Linked DNA regions of Tribolium castaneum. The protein of the gene in region 2 purifies or fractionates together with the protein of the main gene of each other region. This does not show direct contact. Links are inferred from orthologs where the notes say so. Each region holds a gene or a part of one and is shown on either strand. Other genes may lie near its edges.

What was found. The genes of interacting proteins can lie anywhere in the genome.
Region 1: the proteins of Ptpmeg2 (region 2) and Lztr1 purify together in Homo sapiens (affinity purification with mass spectrometry; 3 studies listed by BioGRID and IntAct, with this or other methods). This does not show direct contact. The link is inferred for Tribolium castaneum from reciprocal best matches to the Homo sapiens genes PTPN9 and LZTR1.

What each region holds. Positions count from the first base shown.
Region 1 is NC_087402.1:10,242,155-10,247,805, reverse strand, and holds the start of Lztr1 (leucine-zipper-like transcriptional regulator 1), read right to left. Parts: upstream 3,552-5,651; 5' UTR 3,270-3,551; intron 3,188-3,269; 5' UTR 3,177-3,187; coding exon 2,625-3,176; intron 2,581-2,624; coding exon 2,417-2,580; intron 389-2,416; coding exon 1-388. Other genes in the region: FAST kinase domain-containing protein 1, mitochondrial, read right to left, coding at 4,392-4,620. UniProt on the Homo sapiens protein: Substrate-specific adapter of a BCR (BTB-CUL3-RBX1) E3 ubiquitin-protein ligase complex that mediates ubiquitination of Ras (K-Ras/KRAS, N-Ras/NRAS and H-Ras/HRAS).
Region 2 is NC_087397.1:429,410-433,828, forward strand, and holds the end of Ptpmeg2 (tyrosine-protein phosphatase non-receptor type 9), read left to right. Parts: intron 1-1,251; coding exon 1,252-1,519; intron 1,520-1,569; coding exon 1,570-2,016; intron 2,017-2,068; coding exon 2,069-2,298; intron 2,299-2,349; coding exon 2,350-2,557; intron 2,558-2,683; coding exon 2,684-2,913; 3' UTR 2,914-3,398; downstream 3,399-4,419. Other genes in the region: uncharacterized protein LOC662698, read right to left, coding at 3,475-3,605, 3,654-4,419. UniProt on the Homo sapiens protein: Protein-tyrosine phosphatase that could participate in the transfer of hydrophobic ligands or in functions of the Golgi apparatus.

The DNA.
Region 1 (5,651 bases), on a different chromosome or scaffold from region 2:
GACGTCGTAAAACTCATTCGTTGACAACAACTTCCCGAAGTCTTCGTGTAAAGTACATTTGGGGTAACAAGAGAATTGGAATCGGTACATTTCGCCACTGCGCACATTATTATCAATGGTGCCTCCAAAGACAAACATAGCGTCGTCCACAACGGCCGCAGCGTGAAAAAGTCTCCCCGAAGGAACAAAGGACTCAGCCGCTGGTAAAATCGTGGACCACGTCTGAGAGTCCAAATCGAAACAGTGGAGATCATTTGAAAGAGTGCTATCGGCAGCACCCCCAAAGACATACAAATGCCGGTCGAAAGCCACCATCGTGTGGCCGTAGCGCCGGGCAGGGGGCGGCGGGGCCCCCCTCAAAATATGGTCGGTGGTAATCCGAGTCCAGCTACAAGGTTATTTATTACCGGGGGTTGTAATGGGTATTTCAAAATTTACCGCCCGCAAAAAAAAATACCAAAAATACCAAGGCATTACGGTTTTTTATTTCGAGATGTTGTTTCTGTGTTGGCTAGTAATTGCCTTCACTGATATTGAGAAATTTATATAAATAATGTGAGCATATTTTGAGAATAAAACTTTGCTTTGTTTTTCAGTTGTGCGACTTTTTGTACAATTACTATACATTTTTTTTAACTCACAATTCAAATACTTTGTTTGCCACAAAATTAATCTCATATTCACATATTAACATTAGCATTAACACATATTAACATAAACGTATTTATTTAACTATATTTTACAAATCTAGCTCAGTTACATAACAAACATAAAACACATAAAAAATCGGGTTTTTATGAAAAATAATTAGGAACGAATTTGTGTATTGAAATTTTCACACATTCTTATTTCCAAGAAACTAAATACTAAAATTTAAAAAGCAAATTAGGCAAATAGATGTATTAGTTGTTTCAAAACTACAAAAATGCCAACGTCGCATTTCCTTTCAAAATTAGCTGTTATAAATTATTTACGCACTTAAGGAAATAATAGCCGATGTGATTTCTAGTTTCAATGTGAGATTTCATTATTAATAACTATTTTACAATTTTATCAATCTTATTTAAGAAAATAATTTGGTAAAATGCGACATTGGCGTTTTTATAGTTTTGAAACAGCTAATAGGTCGATTTACAGAACATTTATTAACTACAAATAAATTTTAGTATGTGATTAACCGAAGACTGAATAATTTGGCATTAAATCTGTTAATGCAACGTAAATAACAACTTTATGAAACGAGCCTTGGCGAATGTCGTAGAGTCTTATAGTCTTAGTAGTCATTATGTGCGAGTATACATACATTATTTTTTCTACGATCCGATGGGTTAAAATAAAAACATTTACATTTTTTTTTTCAAAATGTCAAATTTATATTTAAATGCCAAACTCAAGGCAATCTAATAGTCGCTGCCATATTACATTCTCATTGGTAACAAATTGTCCTCGTGGTCGCCACACTGCATTCCATTGGTTACGTACCTGTATATTAATGAAAAATCTGTATCTGTGTTTCATTAAAAAACAGGTCACAAACATTTTTCATTAATCAATTAAAAAATGGGAGTAGACAAAATTTTTTATTTTAAAAGATAGTATTGTTTTCAAATACATTATATACTGTTTCGTCTAAACCCCACATTAGAGGTATTACTTGTGACATTTATTGTCTAATGGATAATGATATTCATCTGAAATTAGTATACAACTTCGAATAATTTTTAAGATTTTATATTTTAAATGGTAATTAATATTGTTATTGTGTTTCTGGATTATTCAAGTTTTTGTAATAATCTGTGTAACCATCATATTTAAGTATTTTGGAATCCACTTTTTAAATTTTTGAATCTACACCTTCCCCTTAATAAAAACTATTGGCTGTTTTACCAAATTATTTTTTTAAATAAGTTTGATAAAAATGTAAAATAGTTCTTAACGATTAGGTTTCTCATTAAAAGTATAAATTACATTAGCTATTATATTCTTAAAGTGCATGAATAATTTATAACATCTAATTTTGGGAGCAAATGCAACGTTGTCGTTTTTATAGTTTTGAAGCAGCTAATATATGATTTTTAAATTATTTTTAAACTTAAAAGAAAAAATGGACAAGAAAAACCACTAGTTAAAAGAAAAATCCAATTGTAACAAGTGACAGCTGTTTTTATAGTTCAGGAACAGGTATTAGTTGCTGTATATTTTTTTTGTTAGACCTCAAACTATTATTTTTGTCGCCAGTTAATTTAGCACCTTGACAATCAAATTTAAACGTTGAAGTTTTAATTAACTAGCAGGAATGCCAATTGCTAATAACTCAGTGTTGCCAATACATTTTTTTATTATAATAATCACTCGGTATTTATTTTTGGCGGCGGTAACATTTGGAATACCCTGTAAGTACAAAATGGGGCTATACGTATGAGTGTTGAAATTGAACTGGAAGAGCGAGTTTGTGATTTGGGCCCCACTTTGCCCACTGAAAACAAACATACGCTCCCGCGCAACCGTCACCGGGAAATTACAGCAAGTCGGGGGGCACTCCCCTACTTGCATCACCTTGACCCAACAGCGACTATCCCCCTAAAAAACGCAATGAACCCCCGCAAAAACTGACGAATAATTACATTAAGTGAAATGGTCCACATGTCGTTCAAGCGGGCATTCCCGTCATACCCCGCGAAAATCCACAACTTGTTGTCATAAACCGCAGCCCCATGCGCCGACCGGGGCTCCGGCATGACCCCCAAAAACCGCCACTCGACCCATTGCCCTGAATGAAACTTATACTCGAACAAATCATTCTTGTTTGTGAGATTTGAATTGGAGTGGATGTCCCCGGTGTAGCCCCCGAACACGAACATTGAATTTCGGTAGACTACGGCCGAGTGGTGGTATCGGGGGGCTGGGGGGCACCCGTTGGTAAACGCGCGCCCCCATGACTTCTCCTTCACGTCAAATCGTAGCAAATCATTGAGCATGCTTTTGCCGTTGTCGCCCCCGAAGACGTAAATCGCCCCTTTGTAGGCCACCATTGTGTGCTTGCTACGACGCGCCCCCACAAACTCGTCGCATTCGGGCATACGTTTCCAGCGGTGGACCGTCTCCATCGGCCCGATCTCGAGCGTGAGGGCATTGTCGTAGAGAGCGGCGTCGTCCAGAATGGTCAAACTGCTCATTTTTTACACCTCTGAAAAGTGAGGTTATGTAACTTTTTTTCAGCGAAAATCAATCAAAATGGGCAGTTTTTGCACACAAACTCTAAAACTGACCTCTAGAAACAGTATTTGTTACATCATCGATGCTCGAGGCAGGTTTTTACGAAAAAATTCGTTTTGTCGGGTTGAATGAAACGTCAAAACACCCACATAAACACAACACTTCCGCTCAGACTCAGTAAGACGCTTGTTTTCATCGATTTATTGCGAACGGAGGATTTATTCATACGAATGGGGCTGTCGGGACACGATAATCCTAATGTGCGGTCCTTTGGGGTTGATCAGGGGGGCTGTCGGAGTGACAAATTATGCTTTTTGGGCAGAACCCTCGTCCAGATATATATATCTGGTCGAAGGGCAGAACAGTCACCAATTTAACACCGAGACCTGTCGTGTTATTTGAAAAAATTAGGATAAGGGGTACCAACCGGCAAAAATCCCCAATTCGGGGAAACCCATTTTTCAAATAAAAACACATTTCACGTAAATTCATTTAATCAAGATTAATTAATTACAGTTTGTTAAATTCAGTATAAGAGGAGGTGCGTCCAAGTTCCTCACCTTGCTGTGGATCATAATCCGGGAGCGCACCCATCTCTGAGTGTTAACTCTTCTCGGACGAGCCCTGTTTTGCACAAAATATTCAACCGAGCTCCCTTTGATCCACACCTTGTATTTCGTGGCGATAATCGGCTGAATATCGCACATTTCGACGTCGTGTGCATTGCGTGTGAGCGAAGTGGTGCAAGCTTGCATCATCAGAGGATAAATCAGTTCAAGTTGATGCAGTCTTAAGAACTCCAACACCTCGGGTTTGAAAGAAACGAAAAAGTCACCGGTGATTACATGCGTCGCTTCTTCGGGTTCGTGTTTGTAATCCGGGTCCCGAATTACCTCTGGAATTTTGGTTTTTGAACGGAAGTGGGGTTTTTTTCGCTTACCTATGACCTTATCGACGATTTTACAAAGATATTTATCGACAAAATCGTCAGGCAGTTGGTAAATGACTCGGTTGTTTTCATTGAGTATCCTAAGGCGCAAAATGGCCCTAGGGTTAATGCTCATAACCGGATAACCGAACTTCTCTTTAGGCATCGTGAAACCACACTGAATTCGAGGTGATTGGAATAAAAGCGAAAAAGTCGCGATAAATTTTTACCCACAAAAACACAAATTTTATCTAACGTTTTTATTTAAATTCGTCGTGTTACAATTCGGCCAAATTAATTGTTTCAAAAAATCCACTCTATCTTCGGCGTAATATAGCTCAATCCAGTCGCTTGATTTAACAAAAATCACTTTGTACCCCAGGATTTCCAAGTGGCGTTTTTTCATCTGGAAAGGACCTTTTAGCCGAGTCACAATTTTAGTGCACGCAAACTCGGGCAGTAACAACAAGGCCAGTCTGGAAAAATTCATTACGAAAAATTACGACTACGGGGGACTATAACTTAGGAGACGAAACGAGATACAAAATCGCACGATTTCCTAAATCTAAAAAATAGTTCGGCAGAGTGGCGCATCGAGGGTTATAGAGTCTCGGCGCCAATTCGTATTAAATTAATTTAAATCCAACCAATTCATTAATTATTGGGGAAAAATGCAGAAATGTTGAACTTTGCACTCTCTACAGATTGAGAAAAACTGACGATTGAAACATGAGAAAAAGATTATTTGAAATGTAAAATTTGCGCTTCGTCTCGTATTGTTCAAGACGGTATGAATACGGTTAAAGATACTGGAAAAAAGTCCAAATCTCGAACGTCAAAGGTTTAGGCCCTAAAGATGTTCAAAGACGTTGAAGCGAGGGATTCGTTTCATTTTACCGGTGGTCAAGTAACGGAAAGTTAATTTATAACTAAACTGTAGAAGACAGAAATATGGTGTCGGGGATTTTTTTATAGGAAATTTAATTCTCTACAACTTTCCTTACACTTTTTTTATCTTCAATCGTATTCCCAGCATTATGATAAACAGTGTGAGGAAATTTTATGGGCGAAGGTTAGTGCATGGGCGCGCGCTTGCAGTCAGATAAACCTTTAAATCGAAATGTTGTGGAATAGCTTACACTGTTGATATAAGTTAGGAAAGAGTATTAAAAACTGTTTAGACAAAGAATTTTTTGTTTCAACCCTCGCGAAGGGGCTGAAAAGGCGTTTTAGCTAATAATTTGCAAACACCTAAAATTGGACACATTTTGCGTTTACATACTCATATCTTCCTTCTGGATAAAGCTAGAAACTCCGTTTTTTTTTGCAAACAAATTTTCAATAAATGCAGATTTATACGTAGTTTAACAAGGTTGAGTTTTGATAAAGGGAAACAAAAAAAATACATTTTCTTGTAACGTTGCATAATTGTGTAGTGAAATTTTCGAGATGCGAGAAAGTTTTTTAATTTAAAAGATAGACTCCCACATAATAGAGACGAAATAAA
Region 2 (4,419 bases):
AGCGTCCATAACCGCATTTTTTTCCTATGTGAGTATGAACCTGTTATACTAATTATTTCGAGCATTATTATTAATGCGTTTAGAAGTCGTGCGGTTCAAGGCGTAACACACAAACACACTATTCGTCGTAATCATAATTTTACGTATCGTTTGTGCGCAAACTCGAATTGTGCGGCGTCGCGACGTCCATCGATTTAGTGACTGCATGAAATGTTTGATCTGTTGCTTGATTGTGAAAAAGTCGTCGTTTCGTTTGAGGAAATTTTAAGGGTTTAAGGTGGGTGTGTTGAAATAATGGTTTGCGAGTGTTTGGGGTGATTTTAGAGTTGAGCGGATGTGTTGATTTTTTTAGTCAGGTAAGGCATTACGTAAGGGGACGTATCAACGATTGTTTCTATTATTTGGAATAATAGACGAGTGATAAATTGTCGGTGTTGTAATTTTAGATTCGTGTGTGTGTTTGATGGAATAGACGCAGTTTGTGTCGTAAATTAACGCGAAATGTTTTCGGATGGTGTGGAGGGATTTTCCATGGAAATGATCAAGCGTATCGTTTCAGGAATTAATCAAGTGTTTGTTTTATTTATCTGACTGTTTTACTACTTATGTCATGAGATTTCCACCATATTGTTTCATACCTACACTTAATGTTTGCTCCAAAATGCGATGGTGCATAAATAAATTAAAATTAATTTAATCGCTAACCTAAAATATTGCGCATCATTCACAGCGTTACGAAACAGATATTATGCAGATTGGGTCACTCATGCATCGTGGGACGATCACTTTATAACAAAATAATAATTCAAATATTTTTTTGCCAAAAAAACATGTAAAAATAAAACACAGTTGTTACGGCTCTGCTTAATTCCAGATTATTATTACGTATCTGCATTAGTCACCTCAGCTAATTATTGGTTTTTTGGTAATGAAGTTTTACACTAAAAAAATTCATAACTCGAAAACTAAAAGTCGTAGAGCAACGCGGTTTGTTCCATTGAATTCTACGGCTCATTTCACATTAAAATAGTTTGTTTTTTTTTTCTCTAAAATTATACATGGTAATATAATAATTTTCCTCAAAAGAATTCGGTGAACAGTTACCGACGTGATTTATTTGTAACAAAGCCAATGGGTCAGTGCGATAATTTTTCATGAATTTAATGGCAAAAAAATGTTAATGAACGCATTGTTGCCGATTACCGTTGCTTTGTCTCTAAAACGCAATGCAAATGAAAATAAAATTTATAGGGCGGCTATCCGGCCAAACTTAAAAAGGTGCTGATCGTGACGGCCCCCTTGTGGTTCAAAGCCCCCTTCAAAATCCTGCGTCTTTTCGTCCGTGAAAAACTCCGTGAGAGAGTTTACACCGTTTCAGTGGCCCAACTTTTAACCCATATACCACGAGAATCTCTACCAACACAGTTGGGCGGCTCACTCATCCTGGACCATAATGGTTGGCTATCGTTGTGTTTGCAGTCAATGACCACTCGAGAGGAAACCTCATTGCCACAATATGGTCGGTGTTAACATATTATTGAATTATTGTAATTAAATAAAAAATTTTAGATGGCAAAACGCCATCACCCCAAAAACGCATTCGCACACCAACCGAAATCGAAATCTCGTCATCGACCAATAACATAAACGACACCTGGGCCGAAGAAGGCAATTTGAATCCGCCAAGTAGCGCATCGAGTGGTTTCTCTGACGATGATTCTTTGCATGGAGATGGGGCTGCACTTACAATGCCCCAATTGGTGGATTATGTGCGAGATAGGGGGCGTTCGGGGCTCATGCAGGAGTACGCAGAGATTCGGTCAAGGCCCCCTGATGGCACCTTCAACGTCGCCAAAATGAAAAACAACTTGCCGAAAAATCGATACACGGATGTGTTGTGTTACGATCATAGTCGAGTGATTCTCTCCGAAATCGATTGTGATAAAGACAGTGATTATATACATGCGAATTTTGTCGATGGGTATAAGCAGAAAAACGCGTTTATTAACACACAAGGTGAATATTGCATAATCACTCGGTCCTTCGTGCTATTAAATTAAAATTGTAGGTCCTTTACCGAAAACAACGCCCGATTTTTGGCGAATGATTTGGGAACAACATAGTTTAGTGATAGTGATGACGACTCGAGTGATGGAACGAGGGCGTCCCAAGTGTCACCAGTACTGGGAGACTGAAGTTGGGAGTGAAGCGAGTTATGGTCAATTCACTGTTAAAACTGTAGCTGTTGAAACCGATCCCGACTACACCGTCACAACTATTAATCTTATTAATAATAAAGTATGTGAAAAAAATTCATAGTTATGCATTCGAATTACAATTTGTTCATAGACCGACGAATCTAGGGAAGTTTCGCATTGGCAGTTTACGTCATGGCCCGATTATGGGGTTCCCCGTTCGGCTAAAGCCATGCTCGAGTTTCTCGAACGTGTGCGCCGAAAACAGAACGCTATGGTGGTAGCACTGGGTGATACATGGGCAGGGCATCCCCGAGGACCGCCGATTGTGGTCCATTGTAGTGCAGGAATTGGACGAACGGGTAAGAAAACACATTCTGTTCTTTACCAATTTATTTATTCAATTAAATTAACAAATTCCAACACATTAATTTGAAGTTTTTCAATAGAAATTTAAATTGATGAACAACTGTTTCTGTATTTTTTAGGGACTTTTTGTACCTTGGATATTTGTATATCCCGACTGGAGGATTTAGGAACGGCAGATATTCGAGGAACTGTCGAACGAATCCGATCACAACGTGCATATTCCATCCAAATGCCTGATCAGTACATTTTTTGTCATCTCGCTTTGATCGAATACGCCCTAATGAAGGGACACTTACAGTCGGCTGATTTGGCCGGATTCGATCCAGGCGCTGACGACGATTCGGACTAATTTTAATTCTGCTTCAAACTTTTTGTCTTGTGAACGACAAATTGTGATTCTTTTCTAAATTTACATATCGTTTTCTCAAATAAAACCGATCTTGTAATATGACAGCGAAAGATGGCGTTGCTAATGTGACAGGTCACTTTGATTGCGATGGAATATTACAAGTTTATTTTTATAATCCTAATTCAATGTTGGATGTACCTACATTTTTAAGCTTCCTTGAATATTTGAAACTAGGCTAATGAAATCAAGAACGATCTTGTTCTTTACATATAAAGACTGTCCAATAAAATGTAAAATTATTTATTTTGCAAAGCTTTAGGAACGCCCCGATTTGTGTTTTACCAAAAACAACTTCCATTCAAGAGGTTCAAGCCAAAACGTTAGTGTTTAACAATTTTTTTTGTACTAAGTATTATTGTGACATAGTTGAATTGTATTGTAAATATTGTATTCTGATTTCTTAATACAACAAAAAATGCTTTTTACTTTTGTCACGTTTTATTATCACGACACCAACAAAACCAGTATAAAATTATCAACAAAAATAACAACAAAATTTACTTAAAGCTTTGATTTAAGTGTGATTGCGTGCTGTTTCAAATGTCTCCGTAAAATCTTTCCTGACGGATTTCTCGGAATGGCATCAATGAACACAACACCTCCTCTCAATTGTTTCTGAGACGATACATTGTCTGCAAAAATATTAGTAAACAAAAATCAATGGTTAAATTAACAAGTACCGGCGACAAATTTTTCCAATTCTTTGTCAGTCGTCTCATGATTGGGTTTTTTCACAACAAAGGCCAGCGGTAATTCCCCGGCCCTTTCATCAGGTAGGCCGATAACAGCGGCATCTGCAACCGCCGGATGTGTGATTAACAAAGCCTCAAGTTCAGCAGGTGCCACTTGATAGCCTTTGTACTTAATAAGTTCTTTAATTCTGTCAACAATAAAAAAATATCCGTCCTCATCGTAGTAGGCCACGTCTCCGGTATGTATCCAGCCGTCTTGATCAATCGTATTGGCCGTGGCAACAGGATCGCCAACATAACCCTTCATAATCAAGGGCCCTTTAAAACAAACCTCGCCTTCTTTATACGGCCCTAAAGCCTTTCCAGTATCATCAATAACTTTGGCCATCATTCCTGGAACAATTTTCCCAACTGATCCGACTTTAGTTTTGCCCAAAGGACTGACTAGAATTCCTAACGTCGTTTCAGTCATTCCGTAACCTTGAGACACGTGGCCTACTTTAAATCGGTTTTTTAATTCACGTTCCATGTCTTTCCCCATGGGGGCAGCTCCTGTCCGAATTTCCTTAATTCCAGACAGGTCGTATTGTTTAGTAAGTGGGTGTTTCAGGAGCACCAACATGACAGGTGGTGGTACAACAAGTCGCGAAATTTTGTACTTTATGATAGCGTCTAGGAAAATTTTGGTTTTGAAACGACTCAAAACAACCATTTTTTTGCCGCGTAACAAATTCAAAAACATTAACATGAAACC